Linked DNA regions of Xenopus tropicalis. The protein of the gene in region 1 interacts with the protein of each later gene in a biochemical or structural test. Links are inferred from orthologs where the notes say so. Each region holds a gene or a part of one and is shown in the gene's direction. Other genes may lie near its edges.

What was found. The genes of interacting proteins can lie anywhere in the genome.
Region 2: the proteins of xrcc1 (region 1) and polb form a complex in vitro, tested with the Homo sapiens proteins (5 studies listed by BioGRID, with this or other methods). The link is inferred for Xenopus tropicalis from reciprocal best matches to the Homo sapiens genes XRCC1 and POLB.
Region 3: the proteins of xrcc1 (region 1) and aptx form a complex in vitro, tested with the Homo sapiens proteins (2 studies listed by BioGRID). The link is inferred for Xenopus tropicalis from reciprocal best matches to the Homo sapiens genes XRCC1 and APTX.

Annotation. Positions count from the first base shown.
Region 1 is NC_030683.2:118,935,119-118,938,618, forward strand, and holds part of xrcc1 (DNA repair protein XRCC1), read left to right. Parts: intron 1-306; coding exon 307-414; intron 415-891; coding exon 892-1,050; intron 1,051-1,338; coding exon 1,339-1,413; intron 1,414-1,890; coding exon 1,891-2,008; intron 2,009-2,675; coding exon 2,676-2,788; intron 2,789-3,247; coding exon 3,248-3,386; intron 3,387-3,500. UniProt on the Homo sapiens protein: Scaffold protein involved in DNA single-strand break repair by mediating the assembly of DNA break repair protein complexes. Negatively regulates ADP-ribosyltransferase activity of PARP1 during base-excision repair in order to prevent excessive PARP1 activity.
Region 2 is NC_030679.2:130,625,430-130,628,929, reverse strand, and holds part of polb (DNA polymerase beta), read left to right. Parts: intron 1-244; coding exon 245-296; intron 297-915; coding exon 916-970; intron 971-1,680; coding exon 1,681-1,753; intron 1,754-2,249; coding exon 2,250-2,320; intron 2,321-2,467; coding exon 2,468-2,554; intron 2,555-3,500.
Region 3 is NC_030677.2:94,471,890-94,476,169, forward strand, and holds the end of aptx (aprataxin), read left to right. Parts: intron 1-2,535; coding exon 2,536-2,639; intron 2,640-3,192; coding exon 3,193-3,347; 3' UTR 3,348-3,780; downstream 3,781-4,280. UniProt on the Homo sapiens protein: DNA-binding protein involved in single-strand DNA break repair, double-strand DNA break repair and base excision repair.

The DNA of each region.
Region 1 (3,500 bases):
CTGCATGGGTTTCATCTGGGTACGTCGGTTTCCTCCCACACTTTAAAAACATACAGGCACGTTAATTGGCTTCTGATTAAACTGACCATAGTGTGTGTGAATGTGATAGGGACCCTAGATTGTAAGATCTGGGGCAGGGACTGATGAATAATCTCTGTAAAAGCGCTGCGGAAATGTAGCTGCACTATATAAATAACAGCAATAAATGAAATAAAAAATAATTACTGCTCTAATTTCATGCCGTGTGTGCCTATACGTGCATGGGTACTGACCTCAGCTTACTCTGGTGCCTTTGATTTTCTGCAGTTTGAAAAGGAGGAGCAGGTCCACAGCATTGATATTGGCAATGAAGGTTCTGCGTTTGTGGAAGTGCTGGTCGGACACTCCACTTCAATCAGCGAGCAGGAATATGAGGTATGGCAGGTACCTATAGTGCCATATGCAGTGGTTGGGATGATTGTTTATTAAAGTAAAAAAGATTACCATTAATATGGAGGCAGAAAAAGCACAGGCTATAGCGAGAGCATCCTATGTCTGTAAAGCTCCCTAAACATTTAGCAAACGGAAATGGCATTTAAGTTGGTCGTGCTCCTTGAGGATGGGGGTGCTGCTGGTTAAGGAGAACTCTGGACACCATCAACTACCCAGGGCCAATCTCATACTTAGGGATAGTGTGGTAAATACAATACCGTGTCCTCAGCGCTTTGTGATTAATGATATAGAGTCAGTGAAGAAAGTGACGAAAACTCTGTGTGTTCCTGCTTAGGGATAGTTTGCTATAGCATTTTACTCTCCAGAGCTCACAGAATGTAAATGCAGATAGCAAGTTAGTACAGTTGTGAGGAATACAGACCTGATGTGCCAATTCCCATCTTGCTTGTCTCTGCATAGGTCCTCCTGGGAATGTCATCGTTCATGTCTCCTAGCGAGAGCAAGAATGAAAGCAACCTGAATCGGCTGCGAATGTTCGGACCAGACAAGCTCGTGAAAGGAGCAGCTGAAAAGAAATGGGATCGGGTGAAGATTGTGTGCACCCAACCCTACACTAAGGTGTGCAGTGTCTGCTTACAGAGCGGAGAGCTTTGTGGGATATATAATTAACAAACAGAATGTAGATACAATTAGTATTTGTTGTGATGTGTGGGTCGAGGTCAGGTAAGTTAGAGTTGAAATTTGGGCGACCGTTGTGGGTTCAGGTTGGGTGCGGATCAGGCATGAGAAGTACACTTTTCCTTTGCTGAAGTGTGGTAATTTCTGTGGAGTTTGTTGGCAAGCCTTTAGTATATAGCTGGATGCACGTTTTTCTATAAACCATTTCATGTTCTCTTGTCTCATTAGAACCTTGCTTATGGTATTTCATTCATACGTCTGAACTCCCCTCCAGAGGATGGCTCGCCCACCGCTCCCTCACCGGTATGCATTCTACCTGTGCTTGCTTGACTGATACATAAGCAAATACAAGGGGTTCTACATAAGGAACAATTCATTATCTGTGATATAGGGGACCATAAATATTTCTTTGCTCATGCCCTTTTTAATCCCGTCTTCATTTAATCACTTACCTAATAGCAAAGGTTACTAACATGTAAAACTTTATATCATTCATAGGTTGTAGTTCCAGTGATATCTAAGACTGCAAATCAGCACTTATCCCAGAACTTGTGGTTGGCCCAAGGCAACCACAGCCCTTTAGCAGGGAAGATCTGTGCCCCCAAAGATGCCCCAGTAGCCCCCCCCATATCTTCTTTTCTGCTGGTTCCCTGCACATTCAGCTCTGTCTCATCAGCTTACATGACAGGCTGACCTAATTTTGAACAGTGCCGGTTTAGGAAAGTTCACCTTGTGTTTATGCTGCCATGGATTATAAATCATTACTATGCTCTTCTGCAGAAAGTGACCAAACTTGGGCAGTTTATGGTAAAGGAAGAAGAGAACTCATCTCCTTCTATGCGTCCCGGGAGTCTGTTTTTCAGCCGCACCAGCAAGCCGCAGGTTACTCCTCCGAAAAGTAAGCTATTCTGCACATATCCCTTGTAATTCCCTCTATTAGTTATTTTCTGAAATGTGTGAGTGCCCCTGAAACTTGTACAGAAACTGTGTGCATTGCATTACCTACGCTATTAGGTACATTGCAGGTACAGTAACTCTTGAGTCATAGGGTTACTTTACTTCATGGCTTGTACTGCAACCATATGGCAAAACAGCTATAAAGGGGTTGTTTACCTTTTGAGTTAACTTTTACTATGATGTAGAGAGTGATATTCTGAGATATTTTGCAATTGGTCTTCATTTTTTATTATTTTCAGTTCAGGAGCTCTCCAGCCTGGAGTTTCAGTAGTTATTTGGTTGTTAGGGTCAGAGTTACCTTAGCAACCAGGGCGTGGTTTGAATGAGAAACTGATATATGAATAGGAAAGGGACTGAATAGAAAATAAAGTAACAATAACAATAATACTGTAGCCTAACAGAGCAATTGATTTCTGGCTGCCGGATCAGTGACCCCCTTTTCAAAACTCCATAGAGAAGGTGGCAAGTTATTCAAAACACATAAATAATGAAGGGCAATTGAAAAGTTGCTTAGAATTGACCATTCTATAACATACTAAGAGTTTTTAAATTCTCCCTCCAACACTATTCCCTTTATACTGCCACTTAGCTATTGTGTTCTTTTACAGCTCCACCAGCCACACAAAGCTATGCGTCTGCGACATTACAGGGCACAGGAGAGGCCAGCTCCAGCACTGAAAAACAGACTGTTAAAACCCCACCAAGTAATAACATCCCAAAGGTGAGTAAGTTGGGTGTGGGCATGGATACACCGACCGCCTCTGTCTCCTCTATCAGCATAGGGTATACCTATCATACCCATGTATGCGCTACAGATGTTCCAAATGTGGCAGCTTTATTGTCAGCTGTGTCCCAGAGATGTTACACCATGTCCCTTTGGGCACTAACCCATAACCCTTGCTGGCTACGTATAGGGGGATTGAGACTACAGAAAGTCTTCTAGAGCTTAAAAAGGAAGGTTGTGGTCAGACAGCAAGAAATAATGTATTTTTACTGAGGGTCAAGTTGGAAAGATGAGTTGGTAACGGCAGCATAGGAGCTTATGGACAAAAGTAAGAGGGGAAATATATTTGTCTCAATGTTTTCATTAAACAAATACAAAGAATTGGTCCCCTTTAACATCCAAAGACCAATGCCAGTGAAGTTCTAGTTTGTTCTGAGCAGTTGCTGTTCTCTCTAGGAACCGTCATCTGGTAAACGGAAGTTTGAGTTCAGTAAAGAACCCTCAAGCCACTCGGCAGTCAAGAAACACGAAGTCAATAAGTCCCCATCTTCCGCCAAAGAGAGCACATCACAGCCAGCACCCAAAAAGCCAAAAGGTAAAAAAAATTTTTTTTTTCCTTCACTTGGATGACACCTTGAGGCTGGGACACAGTAGCAGCGTACCTGTCACGTGATTTCTGTGAGCCTTGAGATTTAATTCCACGTCTGGG
Region 2 (3,500 bases), on another chromosome or scaffold:
AAGGAGGGGGGCAGTGCAGGTCTCCTTTAAAGATTTTTGCTTAATGTGAGAGTCTCCTTTCTGGCCAGGGCCTAAAGGTTGTAACTAAATGCATGTGTTGTAATTCCACAGTCTATCACTATTGACAGTCACATATTTAAAGGGTTTATTTTCACATGGTCCAATGTTTCAATTGTACAGGAGAGAAGGTTGATGCCCATATCCATGTCACATCTATAAATAATCCTGTTCTCTTGTTCTCCAGATCTCAGAAATAATGAGCATAAATTGAATCACCATCAGAAGATTGGATTGAAGTGAGTATAATGGTGAAAAAATGATATAATCCGTGCATGCAGGCACATCAGAGACTGCATTAAGTTACGGGAAGAACTGGTGCTTTCATACAGTCTGGTACAGGCACAATATGGTGGGGAAGAGCGGGCAGACTAAAGCTGGCCATACATGCACCAATAATATTGTACGAAACCTTGTTTCGTACAATATTCTGTGCATGTATGACTGCTCGAAGAGGCAACCGATAACGCAGAAGGCTGCATATATTGATCGATTGGCCAGGTCAGAAGATTTTGATCGGGCACCATTGAAGGCGCCCAAGCAAAATCTACGTTCAGGGCTGAATCGCCAGGGGGAGGTATAATTTCTGTTGTTTTTACCTCCATATCTGACGATTCAGCCCTGAACGTCAGTTGCACGAAAGATCAGAATCGCTACGTATATGGCCACCTTAATACAGAGAGAAGGAATAACAGTACAGAAGTGCTGGCACTACCAGTCATTCATAGAGTGTCAGTGACCCCACTCCACCACTGACAGGTCCTATGCACAACAGAGAGTGAGATGATAGTTCCCTGATACAGAGGGATTGTTCATGTGTATATAGATACTATTAAAGCATGTGTTTTGTATCTGCAGATACTTTGATGATTTTGAGAAACGGATCCCGCGTAAGGAGATGATACAAATGCAGGTACTGTGTACATATATCTTTACCGTACTGAGCACTTCCCATACAGCATTGCTAGTGCAGATAGGATCACCAAAGCATGTTTTATTTATTTTTCCTATACTTGCCAGTACATTTCTAACCATAATTTTTGACTGTATTGTATGAGCATAGGTTAATGAGGCCCCCCATGATGCTTTGGCCATCAAACTGTGATCACCCAAGTGTTAATTGGCAAAAATGAAGAGGCAGACTGATATCCCAGTTCATGGCGTGTGGGATATCTGTATTAGAACTGACCAATTAGATATATTTCTGACCTCTGATTGGCAGTGTCATGATTGTGATTTGGTCAGTTGACTTGTGGAATATTTTCATTGCAGGGGAAATATACTGTACTATAGGTTAAAACCATCCAAGTTGTTTGGCTGTAATACTCAGGGTCACCATCAAGGCGAGGTAGTCATAAATTCCATCAGACACCTTGACTGCCATGAAAGGGCTGGAGAGTTACAGGATAGGAGCAGTGGCATAATTAGAGTGTACTGTACACCCCAGAAGTGGGGCAGGGCCTGATGTAAATGCCAAATAATCTCTGTAAAGCTCTGTGTATAAAAAAGAGCATAGCAATAATAATTTGTTGGATGTTTTTGTTCGGTTTATCATGGATCTTATGGCATAAATATATATCTTTGTGTTTGTCTAAATAACCATGTTTGTTTATTTTCTTGCAGGAAAAAGTTATAGATAGAATAAAAATCCTGGACCCTCAGTACATCGCCACAGTGTGTGGAAGCTTCAGACGAGGTGTATATATTAAAATGCTGGTTCTTGTTGTGCCTATTTACACTTCTACACAACCCTTTTTCTAATCTGTCCTTCTGTTTCCAAGACCTAACTATGTTAGTCCTTCCCCTTTTAAAGGGGATCTTAAAAAAAAAAAAAAAATTAAAAACTATAAATAATGAAGACCATTTGAAAAGTTGCTGTTCTGTTACATACTAAAAGTTGGTTTAGAAGTGAACTACCCCTTTAATATTTCTTTTCATATTATGTATGGTTTCTGGGCGTCCCTTCACCAGTTCCCTACCCACTAAGTAGTGGCTATACTGGCATGGTATAGGAAAGGAAGATGATTATGAAAGCGACTGGAAAGAAACCTTATTTATTTAAAAATTAATTATTCTTTATGGTTGCCGGGAATCATTGACCCCAGCAACCAGATAGCAATTACATTTTTTTTTTTACACAAGAACGTGACCTCCCTTTTTAACATCTCCTTTTCCCCCATGTTTGTTTCCAGGTGCAGAGTCCAGTGGGGATATGGACGTTCTCCTGACTCACCCAGACTTCACTTCGGAATCTGCCAAACAGGTCAGAAACCAATGATCGTCCCATTAGTTGTGACCTTTAAACCTAAATCCGTTGTGCTCCAGTGAAGCTGCCATATTTGCTTCGCAGCATAAACCATTGAAGAGCCAGGTGAGGATTTAATGATATTTTCTGTCTTTCTCTTCCCAGCCACACCTTTTGCGTCAGGTCGTGCAATGCCTGGAAGAATGCGAGTTTATCACAGACACGCTTGTAAAGGGAGACACAAAATTTATGGTATTGTCCTAAACTGTTCTTTTATATTTACACAGTTGTTTCATGGCCGCAGTGAAGGTTATGAAGTACAAGCCCCTATGAAGTCAGGCATTTTGTCAGCTCCAGCCTTGGCTCATATGAAAACACTGGATCAGCCAAGCAGCCATAGAAAATCTCTTGCACAGCAGATCATTGGCACCCACAGTTTGGGATGTGATGTATTAGAATTTTATTTTAGTGTTTTGGGTAAGGTAGATTTGGTTCAACATCTGGAAAATTAAACTACTGTGGTATTGTGTTATTATTGCTCATATATCACTGGCATCCAAAGAAATGTGCTTATACCGCTCTGTGATCCAGGTGGGACAATGAAACCCACCCATATTATTTATTTATTTTTTTTAAAAAAGGGTCCCATTTCACCCACCCCATCAAGTACTCCAGCATTGGCTGCCCTCTTGCTCACAATTTGTTTTTACAAAGAGTAGCAATGCTGGGTTGCCTGCTGCCACATGTGGCTCCTTAATAAGTTTAGGTTTCCAGGTGGTGTTTGCTTGGGAGGAACATGCACAGTAAAAGCCAATGTGGACCTGGTTTCCAGTTCACATTCTTCTGGTTGTGAGCCTGGACACTGCTTGTGAAGTGGCCAGACATGGTGTCCTTCAACCATCCTACTCTGCTTTCTTAGGCCGAGTATGGGGCTGTAGGTAGCAGCTCTTGATGCACTTTGCAGGGAGCCTTTGTTGGGGGGGGCAGCACTGTTAAAATCAGTATGGGGGGGGGGTTTCCTATGCCTTTACTAGGTGGGAAAAGTCACCCGTGTAACATTAGTTTTAGGTGGCAAGGCACAGTTTAGTGAAAGCCCACAGAGACATGCCACCCTGAGCCTATAATATGGCTGAAATGCTCAGTGGGGCTTCACTGGAATGATTTTCTTTCTGTATTGTAGGTTATGGGCTTCCACGTG
Region 3 (4,280 bases), on another chromosome or scaffold:
CGGAAAAGATTGGCAGAATCCAGAGCCTAGTTCGCCAGCTCATCCATACTCCTCAGCCCTCCATTCGGTTTGCCATGCAAGTGCTGGGGTCTCTGGTGTCCTCTATAGAAGCAGTTCCCTTTGCCCAGTTCCACCTAAGGACTCTACAGTGGAACATTCTGGATCAATGGAACCGCAGCTCCCTCTCCCAGCCAATCAAACTGTTACCCAGAACAAGAGTGGCCCTGTCTTGGTGGCTCAACCCGACTCACCTGGAGAAGGGACGCTCCCTACAGGAACCACAGTGGATTATTCTAACCACGGACGCCAGCCTCCAGGGCTGGGGCGCAGTACTGGGACAGCTCTCAGCTCAGGGAACCTGGACAGCAGCAGAAGCTCAACTTCCAATCAATATTTTGGAAATCAGAGCAGTACGCCTAGCCCTATACCATTGGCAGAACCGACTCACAGGGCGCGACATCAAGATCCAATCGGACAACGCAACCACGGTTGCATACCTGAACCACCAGGGGGGCACAAGAAGTCGACAAGCCCTCAAAGAGGTCAGTCGCATCCTAACATGGGCAGAAGCAAGGGACGTCCGGCTAACGGCAATCTACATTCCGGGACTCGAGAACTGGCAGGCAGACTATCTCAGCCGTCAAAGAATCGATCCAGGGGAATGGGCCCTGAATCCCAAGATCTTCCTAGACATCGTGGACCGATGGGGTCTCCCCGAAGTAGACCTCATGGCCTCTCGTCAGAACCGGAAGGTGACACACTTCATGTCCAGATGTCGAGACCCTCTAGCATTAGCAGCGGATGCCCTGACGGCCACGTGGGACTTCGACCTGGCCTACGTCTTCCCACCTCTCCCTCTGCTTCCAAGAGTCCTCCGAAAGATCAGATCCGAAAGATGCACAGTCATACTGATAGCTCCACATTGGCCCCGAAGAGCCTGGTTCACCGAGCTGGTGGCCCTCAGCAGAGCAGATCCGTGGCCTCTACCTCTCACTCCCGATCTTCTCACCCAAGGGCCAATCCTACACCCCGATCCAACCTTCCTGAATTTGACGGCGTGGCGATTGAGTCGCTAGTCCTTGCCCGAAAAGGTTTTTCCCAAGATGTCATACGCACCCTGATGGCGGCCAGAAAGCCCGTTTCATCCAAGACCTACCATCGTGTATGGAAAACGTACAGTGACTGGTGCAATCAGACAGGAAATTCCTTCCAGGACCTATCAGTCCCCCGACTACTATCCTTTCTGCAGTCAGGCCTGGACAAGGGCCTCTCACTGAGTTCCTTAAAATCTCAAATCTCTGCTCTTTCCGTCCTTTTCCAACAACGGTTAGCCATCCTTCCCGACGTTGCCACATTCATCCAAGGGGTATCTCACATTTGTCCCCCCTTCCGAGAACCGCTGCCGCCATGGGATCTCAACCTAGTACTATCAGCACTGCAAGTTTCTCCATTCGAGCCACTAGCCACCATTCCACTAGCCTGGTTGACCTGGAAGACAGTTTTCCTTCTGGCCATCGCTTCAGCTCGCAGAGTGTCGGAAATTAGCGCTCTCTCCAATCAGCATCCATTTCTCATATTCCACGCGGATCGAGCAGTTCTACGAACCCTCCCATCCTTTGTTCCCAAGGTTGTTTCGTCCTTCCACATAAATCAGGACATCACCATTCCCTCGTTCTGTCCTCATCCAGCCTCTCCCAAAGAGGTGGCCTTACACTCCCTGGACCCGGTGAGGGCCCTAAAATTCTACTTGCACCGTACCCAGGACATAAGAGCGACGACCTCTCTATTTATCCTTCATTCAGGACAACGAAAAGGTCACCAGGCATCTAAGACCACCATATCTCGCTGGATACGGGAAACCATACGAAGAGCCTACATCGCCCGTGGGAGATCTCCCCCCACACAAATCACGGCGCACTCCACCAGGGGCATAGGCACCTCCTGGGCCTTCAGGAACAGAGCCTCAGCTGAACAGGTTTGCAGGGCCGCTACTTGGTCCTCCATCCATTCATTCACAAAATTCTACCAATTTGAGGTATTCGCAGCATCAGACGCGCACTTTGGTAGAAAAGTTCTACAAGCGGCAGTCAATTAATACTTAGCATATCAGACCGCTTCTCCCACCCTGAATTACTGGGACAGCTTTGGTATGTCCCCATGGTCCCTGTGTCCCACAGACGACTGCTAGAGAAAAGGAGATTTTGTGATACTCACCGTTAAATCCTTTTCTCTCAGGAAGTCTGTGGGACACAGGGCTTCCCCCCCTGGAAGCGGAAAACATCTGAACTTCTCTCTGCCTACATGTATATAGTTACTAGTTACTCGTTACCTTGTTGGTTCTTGTTGACAAAACTGGTGAAGGCAGGAAGTGCAAGGGGGTATAGCAGCAGGGAGGAGGGGTTAGGCCTCTTCTTCCTATTCTAGTGTCCTGCCTCCTGCTGGTACCTACTATACCCCCATGGTCCCTGTGTCCCACAGACTTCCTGAGAGAAAAGGATTTAACGGTGATTATCACAAAATCTCCTTTTATTTCAGCCATGTTCATTTGCATGTTATCAGCCAAGACTTTGATTCCCCTTGCCTTAAAAACAAAAAGCACTGGAACTCTTTCACTACGGATTACTTTTTGGAATCCCAAGGTAGGAATTTGTTTATATTCATTTTCTTCTGTGAAAAAAAATCTAGAAGATATTCAAGGGTTCTGTGATAAGTAAAATTGATTTTGTGATCTAAAAAAAAAACATTTGTACAGCGAGCATGCAGCTCATTTTTCTAATGGAAAAAGTAATATGTTGAACTACACAGCCTCCTGTGTCCTGGTGCACTCAAAACTCATTTAGTGCCCAGTATATGTGAATACATACAACTTCCCCTGGTCACACTGTGAGTTTAACTCCACCAGACAGAATAATGACAAAAAAGCAGAATATAAAACCAGGAACCAATATAACCGAGCTTTTACCGATTAGGATTAATCTTTACAGTCCAGGCTGTTCCCCCAAACAAAACAAGTTTGCAGTGGCTGCCCCTATGGCTACACAGCAGCTTATTTGTATGAACTATAGTAGTGTATCTGATGATAATGCACAATTTTACCAGTGAAGATCAACATTACATTATATTTTAATTTGTTACTGTTCATCAAGTCTTTGTAAAAGGGTTTCTAAACCTTTTTTTTTTTTTTTTTGTAAGCTATGATTGAAATGATAAAAACACATGGCAAAGTCAACGTCAAAGATGGAGTGTCTGAGCTTCTGAAAACTCCTCTTATGTGCCACATTTGCAGGAAGGAGCAAGCAAATATGCCTCAACTGAAGGAGCACTTAAAGAAGCACTGGCCAACATAATATATTGGTATTTTATTGTAGTCCTGGTTTTGGAGATTCTCATAGAAACTTTTGCTTATACAAAAGAATACATTCTACTCCTAGTGTGCCCTTTTTAATATCCATTTTCATTTGCTAGGGCTTCTGTTGTTTGTTTGGTTAGTTAAAAACTGATACTAAAAGGGCGGACAGTTCCAAAGCATCCTTGCCACATGGGTGTATTTTAATTTTTTAGCCTGTGTTTGGCCATCCAGTCTGTCATTTGCTTCAGTAGAATCCATCTGTCACTAGACTGATTTCTGGCAGAAAATGTATAAATGTGTTTTCCTGTCAAAATCCACATCAACTCTAATGTCATGCAGATTTCATTCTAAGACAGACTGAGCAGCCACACTGGGGTGCTTCTTTTCTGTTTGAGAATGCAGGTATATAATATGTGCCATGAAAAAAAAAATAGAAAAAGAACAGGGCCAGATGGGTTACAATACACAAATTCTTAACGTTCCACCTTTTGGCTACAGATCAGCAGGTGTTATCTGAGTTAATTAATTGAAACACTGCACTACAGGTTGCCTTTCTTTACTAAATGTTTTTTCAGAAGTTGGCTATATTAAACATGTCTGTGGGCAGGGCTATCACAGTCCTGCGTGTTGCAGTGTCACCTGACCAATCCCAGCAGATTTGCTGCTCAGGACTCACCCCAAAGCTTAAGGCTAATGCCAGACGAGGCGCTTGCTGAAAATTCCGCCCTACGCCTCCTACATGTGCCTGCACTCGGATGAATGGAATACGCTCGGGTGCCGAAATACGCATAAAATGCGAGACTTTCAAACCTCGCGTTGTTATGCGTATTTCCGCTACATGTGCCTGCACCAGAGCATATTCCATTCATTCGGGTGCAGGCACAAGTAGGAGGCATAGGGCGGAATTTTCAGCAAGCGTTTTTCCACTTGC